Linked DNA regions of Schizosaccharomyces pombe. The gene in region 2 interacts genetically with the main gene of each other region. Each region holds a gene or a part of one and is shown on either strand. Other genes may lie near its edges.

Evidence for each region. Genes that interact genetically often act in the same process or in processes that back each other up.
Region 1: mutations in SPOM_SPBC577.03C (region 2) and mba1 together harm fitness less than expected from each alone (positive genetic interaction), as found in Schizosaccharomyces pombe (one large-scale study listed by BioGRID).

Annotation. Positions count from the first base shown.
Region 1 is NC_003424.3:2,313,045-2,316,869, reverse strand, and holds mba1 (respiratory complex assembly protein), read right to left. Parts: upstream 1,770-3,825; 5' UTR 1,684-1,769; coding exon 1,521-1,683; intron 1,485-1,520; coding exon 1,271-1,484; exon of another isoform or gene 1,170-1,270; coding exon 737-1,169; 3' UTR 501-736; downstream 1-500. Other genes in the region: eki1 (choline kinase), read left to right, coding at 1-403; teb1 (Myb family telomere binding protein), read right to left, coding at 1,807-2,680, 2,739-2,821, 2,909-3,124.
Region 2 is NC_003423.3:753,864-758,441, reverse strand, and holds SPOM_SPBC577.03C (GCN5-related N-acetyltransferase), read left to right. Parts: upstream 1-1,873; 5' UTR 1,874-2,158; coding exon 2,159-2,345; exon of another isoform or gene 2,346-2,418; coding exon 2,419-2,882; 3' UTR 2,883-3,257; coding exon of another isoform or gene 3,258-3,292; 3' UTR 3,293-3,471; coding exon of another isoform or gene 3,472-3,658; 3' UTR 3,659-3,787; coding exon of another isoform or gene 3,788-3,790; 3' UTR 3,791-4,031; downstream 4,032-4,578. Other genes in the region: 1-phosphatidylinositol 4-kinase Stt4, read left to right, coding at 21-34; meiotic recombination protein Rec27, read left to right, coding at 400-440, 491-646, 696-876; tho5 (THOC5-like protein), read right to left, coding at 1,097-1,385, 1,469-1,782; rpl3801 (60S ribosomal protein eL38), read right to left, coding at 3,258-3,292, 3,472-3,658, 3,788-3,790.

The DNA of each region.
Region 1 (3,825 bases), on a different chromosome or scaffold from region 2:
ATATGTTGAGCAATCCGCTGTCATTAATGATCTACTCGAAATTGAAGATGCTTCATTGTTGAAAACTGATATTTCCGACGAATTAAAGAACACGTTTGAAAAGCAAATTATGAACTTAGAAGAATCTGTTCGCGCAATTAGTCCTGCTGCGAACATCGGGTGGGCATTGTGGGGAATTTTACAATGCTTGGAAGAAGATGATGAATGGGAGGATCTAAGCGTTTCCAGCCAAGTTGCGGATCGACCTGAAAAACAGTTGGTTGAAGGTTCTACCGTCCCTCCTATTGGTACCTCTTCTTTTGACTATATTGGATACAGCTCTGAAAAATTTGATCTGTTTTACGAGGGATGTGCTGCCTTAGGCCTAAACGGTCGAAACCGTTCTACATTTTCGTATGCTTGATTCCTTTAAAAAATTTGAATGCAAATTTTCGATCTGTGAATTAGACGATTTGTTTACATGTGTATGTATGTATGTATGTATAAATACTTGTCTTTCGATTTACAGAATTGCCTTAGCGCTTCTGTACGACTCTTCTCATGTTATAAAGTTTATGGATATTTTTTGCGGCTTATTTATTATAGTTTTACGATAAATCTATCGGGTTTTTTTATCAATAAAGCTTTAAGACTTTGAAAAAAAAAATCTCATAATCAAAACACTTTTTCACCTAAGTGGATAATAATATAGTCATTAAATTGTTCTCGATGGATTAATTGTAGGGGCAGAAATCCTCTACTCCTTTCCGGAGAAGAGTTGTTTTAAAAACGATTTTTTTGACGGCTTAGCAACAAAAGTAACTTGTCCGTCAGGCAATGTCTTTCTTACTGTGTTTACCGGGGTCGATGGAACAGACCCCCACAATTGCCATCTAATTGGAGAAGTCCACGATCTTTGCTGGATAACAACATTCTCTATATCTGGCTTTTCAATCTTGGGAGAGCCTTTATCCGTTCGTAAAGATTGTAGGGTATGCAGCCGTACGACGGCTTGTACAAAAAATTCTTCGCCTTTCAAATCTGCTTGGGCACGACTCAAATTAAGTAGCTTAGGCTTAGATATGTGCTTTTCAAGTTTCCATATACATTTTGGCTGGTTTAGAGCTTGTTGTTTTAATATTTGAGCAGTTCTCAAGGTACATAATTCCTCTAATTGCTGTAAATCATGACTTAACAACGCTAAGTTAGCAAAACTGAAATGTGATAAGTTTAATGGCTAACGGAAATTCTAAAAAAAGCAAACCAATATTAACGTTACAGAAATACGTACTTAGCAAGTGCCTTGTTGACACCAGAATGAAGTTTTAAAGCATTTTGAATAATTTCGGCGATGCTGAAGTCACGGTCAGGAAAGGTACGCTTAATCAAGAATTGATTTTTTTTTAAATTCCACCAACCGTAGAACAAATATCTCCACCAAAAACGTATTTTTTTAAAAGGATGCAAGAAAAATGATGTATTATCGATAGGTTCAATGTAACATTCTATAGAGTCAGCACTATTATATACACTAAACATACGCAAAAACGGTATATCCATAGGCTTTAATGCCCTTTGACTTATTGCACGAGGAACAGCGCAATGGAAATATCGCAAAAACATAGGATTAACGTAGGTATTTCTGCAAGCGAAATTGATAGCGAACTGATTCACCCAATATTTCTGAGTTCTAAGAACATTCATATTTAAATACTAAAAATATTTAAAAAAACAAAAACAAAATTTAAATGAATAACGACATGCAGAGCGATGGATAAATGTTGTGAGTCAGAGATGAAAGGAAATAATGAGGACGGTACTAAATCACTATCCCCGGTTGTCCCACGGTATATCCTCGGATGAGATTCTAGGAGTCGAGGGCAAAGGTGGAAAAGTATTGAAATCAGTGGAATTCGGCTGCGGCAGAGTAGACGAGTTAAGCGTATTTGAACTTAAGGGAGGCTCCAAATGAAGTGGAGGTTGTTGAATTGAGAAGGGAAATGGTTGGACCGAGTTTTGCGATGTCGATGGGGATATAGGTAATGAAGGAGGTTGGCCTGCAGAAAACAAAGACTCATAAGGGTGAAATGATTGTAATGTGTGATTAAAGGGATCAGACAATGACTGACCCAGTAAAAAGGAATCAGTCGAGTAGTTAGGATTCCGTTGAGATGTAAAAAATTGGCTTGGTAAATTATGATGTGGCCAATCGAGCAGCTCGTCAGATGCTGGCTGCTCAGTGGTTTGCTGTGGTGATGCGTTAGGATTACTAGCAGCTACGGCGGCCACTGCAGCAACTGCTGCTGCTGCTGCCTCCGTTGTAGAACTATCGTTCGGGGTCGTAGCATCATTTACCATATTATTCTGATAATATTTCGATCTATTGCCTGGATTATTCTTAAGCTTAAATCCAGCAGCCGCATATCTTTCTGGGAAAGCATTCCGAAACCTATCCCTTAGATCTGTACTTCGACGATTTTGAAGTCCGAGATTTGCATCTTTACTAATACGAGTCCAGCAAGGACCATGCAGAAAAAAGCCCTCTAATAAACGCTCATCCTCTTCTGGGGTAAATTGCTTTCTCTCCTTTCTAGTTGATTTAGATAAACCTACCGTATGAGGGATTTTTTGAGGCCGTCCCATATGCGTTTTCGCATTGGGATAAAACTTTTTGTAATCTTCTGGTAAAATTGTCCGAAATCTTGCATATACCCATTAGCAATTGATTTAGGCAATGAAAAAAATTTGATCATGCATACCTGTCTTTTAAATCATTGGGAGAACGATTCGTAAAATGAAAACGTTCATCTAATAGTATTTTTTTCCAATTACCAACACCATGCTAGAGACGGTTAGTTTTCGAAAAAAAAATCATTTTTATATATTCAATTACTAATAAAAAGACAATGTCAGTATTGAATTAACATACAATTTGACATCCCCGTAGTAAATCGTTAGTTTCTTTCTCAGTCCATTTTACTCGAGGCTTTCTCACTTTCGTAGGCTTTCTCTCGAATCCTGGAACATCTTGAGCTACCTCCCTTTTAGAGGGATTTTCAGCTGCCAAAATGGACCCATTCAACAAGTCGACAGAATGCTCATCCATAAGATCTGATGAAAACCCTGGAGGTTTCATAGACCTCATGGTCAACTTGATTACAAAAGAGAAGTTACGATATAATTTTTTATGGGGTTTTTGGTTATGTACAAGAAACCTTCAACAATTCCCTAGTGGTGACTCTAATGTACAATTAGATGTTTCAACGCCTATATATATATGCAAATGCCAAGTCAGGAAATCAATAACAAGAAGTTCGTGGCCCCCACATTGGCCACCATAATGTTGAGGTGAGTAAACAAACCAACAATAGGTTAGCTAAAAGACAGTTGATACATCTTTATTTTTTATAAACATAAAAATCTTAAAAAAATACAGGTTATACTGAATAGACATACTCTGAATTGAACTAGCTTAACATTTAATTTTCAAATTCCAGAATGGTAAGATGTTTAAATAACTGACCAGCTTGTACATATAAGCAAAGTAGTAACTAAATGTAGTTAGTATATCAGTTTGGCCTAACGCTAATTCTTAATGCCGTAAGTTTGAAAAATATTAGCTATCTGTTTGTAACTAAGATTCATTTGATGCTTACTGAATAATTCGAATAAATCATGTGTACTTAGCATATGCCTTATTTCAACATTTTACCGTGATGTGGGATCGTGCTGATTTCTCATAGTTTATACACTAGGCAGGAACACCACCACTTCTTAATTCCTGCATCCACACTTTATCCACTTAATTATTGCCAAATTACCTAAATGAAATGATAATAAATGATT
Region 2 (4,578 bases):
TAATTACTAACTTTTTTAAGGTATTCCTTATTAATATAAAACAACCAGCAATAATAATTATTATCCGTTTAAGTACCTTGCAGCTAAGTTTATTAGATCTAATATAACGATCATTCAGTCATAATAGTTTCTTCTGCAATGTCTTTTTTGTATTGTAGTACGATAATTTATCACATTAACTATTGAATAATGAAACGCGTTTACAGGTATCGCATTGTCAAGTATCTGTTGTATATTTTAGCATATGGCAACTCACTCTTGTAAAGGCTTTATGAATGTTAATTTAAAAAAAAAACAACTTCAAATAACTAGGTATGTATTTTTGAGTCATTTGCTGCCTGCCATTTTTTACTAGGATATAAATAAATTATGGTAACTTTCCTTCTAACAAATACGAATATGAAGAAAAGATCAGAAACATTAGGCTCGGATCAATCTAGGTATGAAAGTAAAGGGAAAAATAATTATAAACGTATACTAATTAAATCAGCTCTGAAATAATTGAGCATGTTTTGGAAGAGTTAAACCTCAAAAACATTGAAAGACGCGTCAAAAAGTATGACCAAATTGAAAGCGAATACAAGACCAATATAGAAAATGAGAAAAAGGCTTTTATAAAGGATGTTTCCCAGGTTCAACAGAAAATGTACGAAAATAAAACGGTAATCCTGGCAGTCATTAACATCAAATTATAGAAAGGAATTTGAGATACAAAAAGCGAATCAAATTAAACAATTGAACGAAGAAAAGCTTTCTATAGAAGCTAGAAAACAACAACTCGAAATCGAAATACGCAATCAGTTGTTACAGTATGCCGAGAAACTGCGAATTGTTGTTAAAACCCCAATGAACCAACCAACAAATACAGAAGTATAAAGTCATTTTAAACACATTATATAAACTAGTGCCATAAAATCATAAAACGAATTAAAAATATGTTATGAGCATACAATTTAATTGAAACTTCAAACTTGAGAATTGAAAAAGTAAAGTGAGGCTAATCGTTTCTAAAAATCTAAATCCGTTCTTTTTATTAAACGCTAAAAAATGGGTAGTAAATGAAATGAATAAACACATAAGTTTTCATGGGAATAATTTACATGGAGGTAATGTTATAGTACTCCTGGACAGGCACGCTGGAGCGAAGGAAAGTCTGCAGCTTTTCATCTCCTTTCTGCAATGCATTCCTCTTTGCTTTATTTTCAGATATTAATGCAGCTTTCCTCTTTAAAAGTTCCTGCTTTAAGGTGGAAAGTCGTTGACGTTCTTTCAGTTCGTCTTCAAGAATCGCAAGCATTAGATCATGATCATTCGAACTCTTAAATTCCGGGTGTTCCTTCAAAAATTCTTCTTTTGAGACGAGTGGTAACGCTGTGTATATATGTCTATTAAAATGGTTAGAAAGAAATGAACAAAGACTTTTGAAATCTGAAAAAAAAAAAAAAAAAGGTAAGGAACTTTCACGTACTCCTTTTCTTCGTAATTTTTTATTATCGTTTTTAAATGCAGCTTTTTGTACTGTAACGCCTGAAGCCGTATACGGGCGTTATCGAGTTCAGACTTGTGTTCGGCTGTTATAGTCTTTGCTTGTACGAGCTGTTCGTAAGATTTTCTATTTGCTTCTCGCAAGATTAAGAGCTTTGACATTAACTGTCGTTTAATTTGCTCGGGATTTTGATCGTCGGCATCTCTGCTATGCTGTTTCAACTCATGAATTCGCAAACACAATGTTCGAGTTGAGTCAAGAACGTTCAAACAATCTGATATTGCATTTTCTGTCATTTTTACGACGAAATACTACTCTTTCTTGGAAATTTTGTAGGAGGAGGTTTCCAAATTGTTTAAAAGAGTAGACGTTTGGGCTTAACTCGTCAACTCAGTATAGCTACGCCTTTACTACCATAAAGGTTAACTGACTAAAACTAACTTCTTATAAGTTGAGCCTTGAATTTATTGTATATATTTGAGAGATTTTCGTTGAATGTCTTTTCAATCAGAGTTCTCGTAAAACTATTTTACTAAACATCAAATCACGTTTTTTTTATCCGTTGCATATATTCAACTTCACGGTTCGGTATCATTTTGATTGATACTGTAAACATTTGGAATAAGTGAGTATTTGGCTATTGAAGAGTCGGTAAAAAAAAGTGTGCTTTCAATGAAAATTAATCAAAATACTACTGTTGATTGCGGCAACTTGATTCTCGTGCCATATCAAAAATGCCATGTGTTAAAATACCATAACTGGATGAAAAATGAGGAATTGCAAGAGCTTACTTGTTCAGAGCCTTTAACTCTTGACGAAGAATATCAAATGCAGGCCTCATGGAGTACTGATGAAGATAGTATGTTATGATGGTTCAACATTCGTGATTGATCAATTGCATCACAAGTTCTAATCATTTTCTAACGATATAGAGCTGACGTTTATCGTTTTACTAAACGAAAACGATGAAGCTAAGAAACCTTCAATTTTGGATCATGTAAAAGCCCACAGCGTTGAATCAATGATTGGGGATGTGAACATGTTTTTGACTGAGGAATACGCAGACGGTATAGAAGAATTTGATGATTCTCCCAGTGATGCTAATGCTACCAATGCTACGAAGGAGTCAGAGGTACATATAGTAGGTGAACTTGAATTGATGATTGCAGAGCCTCAGAATAGAAGGAAAGGATATGGAACCAAGATTGTAGATGCATTTTTGCACTATGTTGAATCCAGTGGAATTGCCAAAAATAAGCAAATCCTTAAGTATCGAGTCAAAGTTGGCTCCCAAAACAAGCCTAGTATTCGGCTATTCAAGAAATTGGGCTTCTCTCAAGTTAAGTACAACGCTTATTTTGATCATGTAGAGCTTGAACTAATGAGGACTTCATAAGCGATGCAACAACGCTTAAAGTTATTTACTTGTTTACTTTATGCAAGTGTTACATGCAGCGAACTACTTTAAAAGGGTTTATTAAAAATTGTTTTCTACACAACCCTATGGCTAATTATACCTCTCATCTCGCAACAACAATTATTTACATACAGACCTTTATTTTATAATCGCGAATTGGGTCTGCTTATAAAATTCGTGAACAACTTGGATAATTTCACCGATTTCTACTCTTCGATTTTTACATTACATTACAAAATAATATGAATACAATCTTTATTGATCATTTTACTTTTGAAAAAGAAAATTTTTGTTTTTAACTGAATGCAAAAACCATGAGAGGTTTCTTTTTCATTAATCACTCAACCAGAAACTTTATGCCTTCTTTCCAACCTCAGTAACGGTCAAATCTATAGAAAACTTGTTAGCTTGAGTTCACTTATATGAACGATTAACTCAGAGCTGATCATTTGTTTCACGAATTATCAACGCTTTAGGAAGAATTCCTTCGCAAAATGCTTTAAGGAAATGTAGTTCCCTCAATAAAAAGTAACTGAGTTAATCTTTCTTAGTAGTTTATATAACATACCGGGAGGAAGAGATTGACGGAGCTTCTCAGCCTTCTTGGCGTCAGCGACAACCAAGGTATACAAGTACTTGGAACAACGAAGCTTGAACTTAACGTCCTTGTTAGTGTTCTTCTTGATGCGGGCAGAAGTAGCATCCTTTCTGCGAGCGATCTCCAAGAATTGCTTAATGTCACTGATTTGACGAGGCTAAAACATGCATTAGTCGATGGTCATTCCTAACACTGAATATATTTTACAGAGACAACTTTAACGAACGAAAGATGAAAACAGTTTTCTCTTCCATAAGCTGCTGAAACCTCTACTTATCTCACTTACCATTTTGTTGAGCTTGGTGAAAGACCAAGAATTCATTCTTTCCAGTTTATCAAAATTTCTGTGACTGTGTTTTACAACTCGAATGGTTTGTAACTCGTTAAAAAGAAATTACGAGCTCTTAATCAGCCGGTATTCGCTCAAGGGGATTAACACTATCCTTCACTATACTGCTTGAATGGGCGTTAGATTGAAGTTCGTTTTTTAAATTGCTTAGCTCAGGTATATACTAAGTGTACGTGATAATAAAATTAAAAAAAAATAGAATAAGAGATGGTCAATATTTATATCTTAATCTATAGTTAATACTTTAATTTTTCCATGCATAATGTTTTTGGAAATTGATAGATGAAGTGTAACAACAAAGAAATGTTTTCAATAGATTTACATATCCATTTGCTATATCTTTTACATCTTTCTATTAGGATCAAACGACTTTATGCTCTTCGTTTTTGAAAACTATATTACATCAATTGCGAAAAAATAGATTTTTACAATAAAATGCTTTCATCCTATCCAAATGTGGATCAAGGCTCTATCTGTCTGTCTACAAAGTATTAACAACATAGCAGCATTCTTGTGAATTATAAAGATAAAGCATACTAACTACTACATATAGAGGAAGTTTGATTTATATGAGCGTGCTTCTATACGAATTTTTTGTTCCACGACGGAAACGACTTTTAAATAAACTCATGAGAAATTCCAACGAAGCTTAAACATTGCCTTTCAAGTGTCAAAATAATTATTGCTTTCGTTCACTAAAATCATTAAATCATTTTACAAAAAAAAAA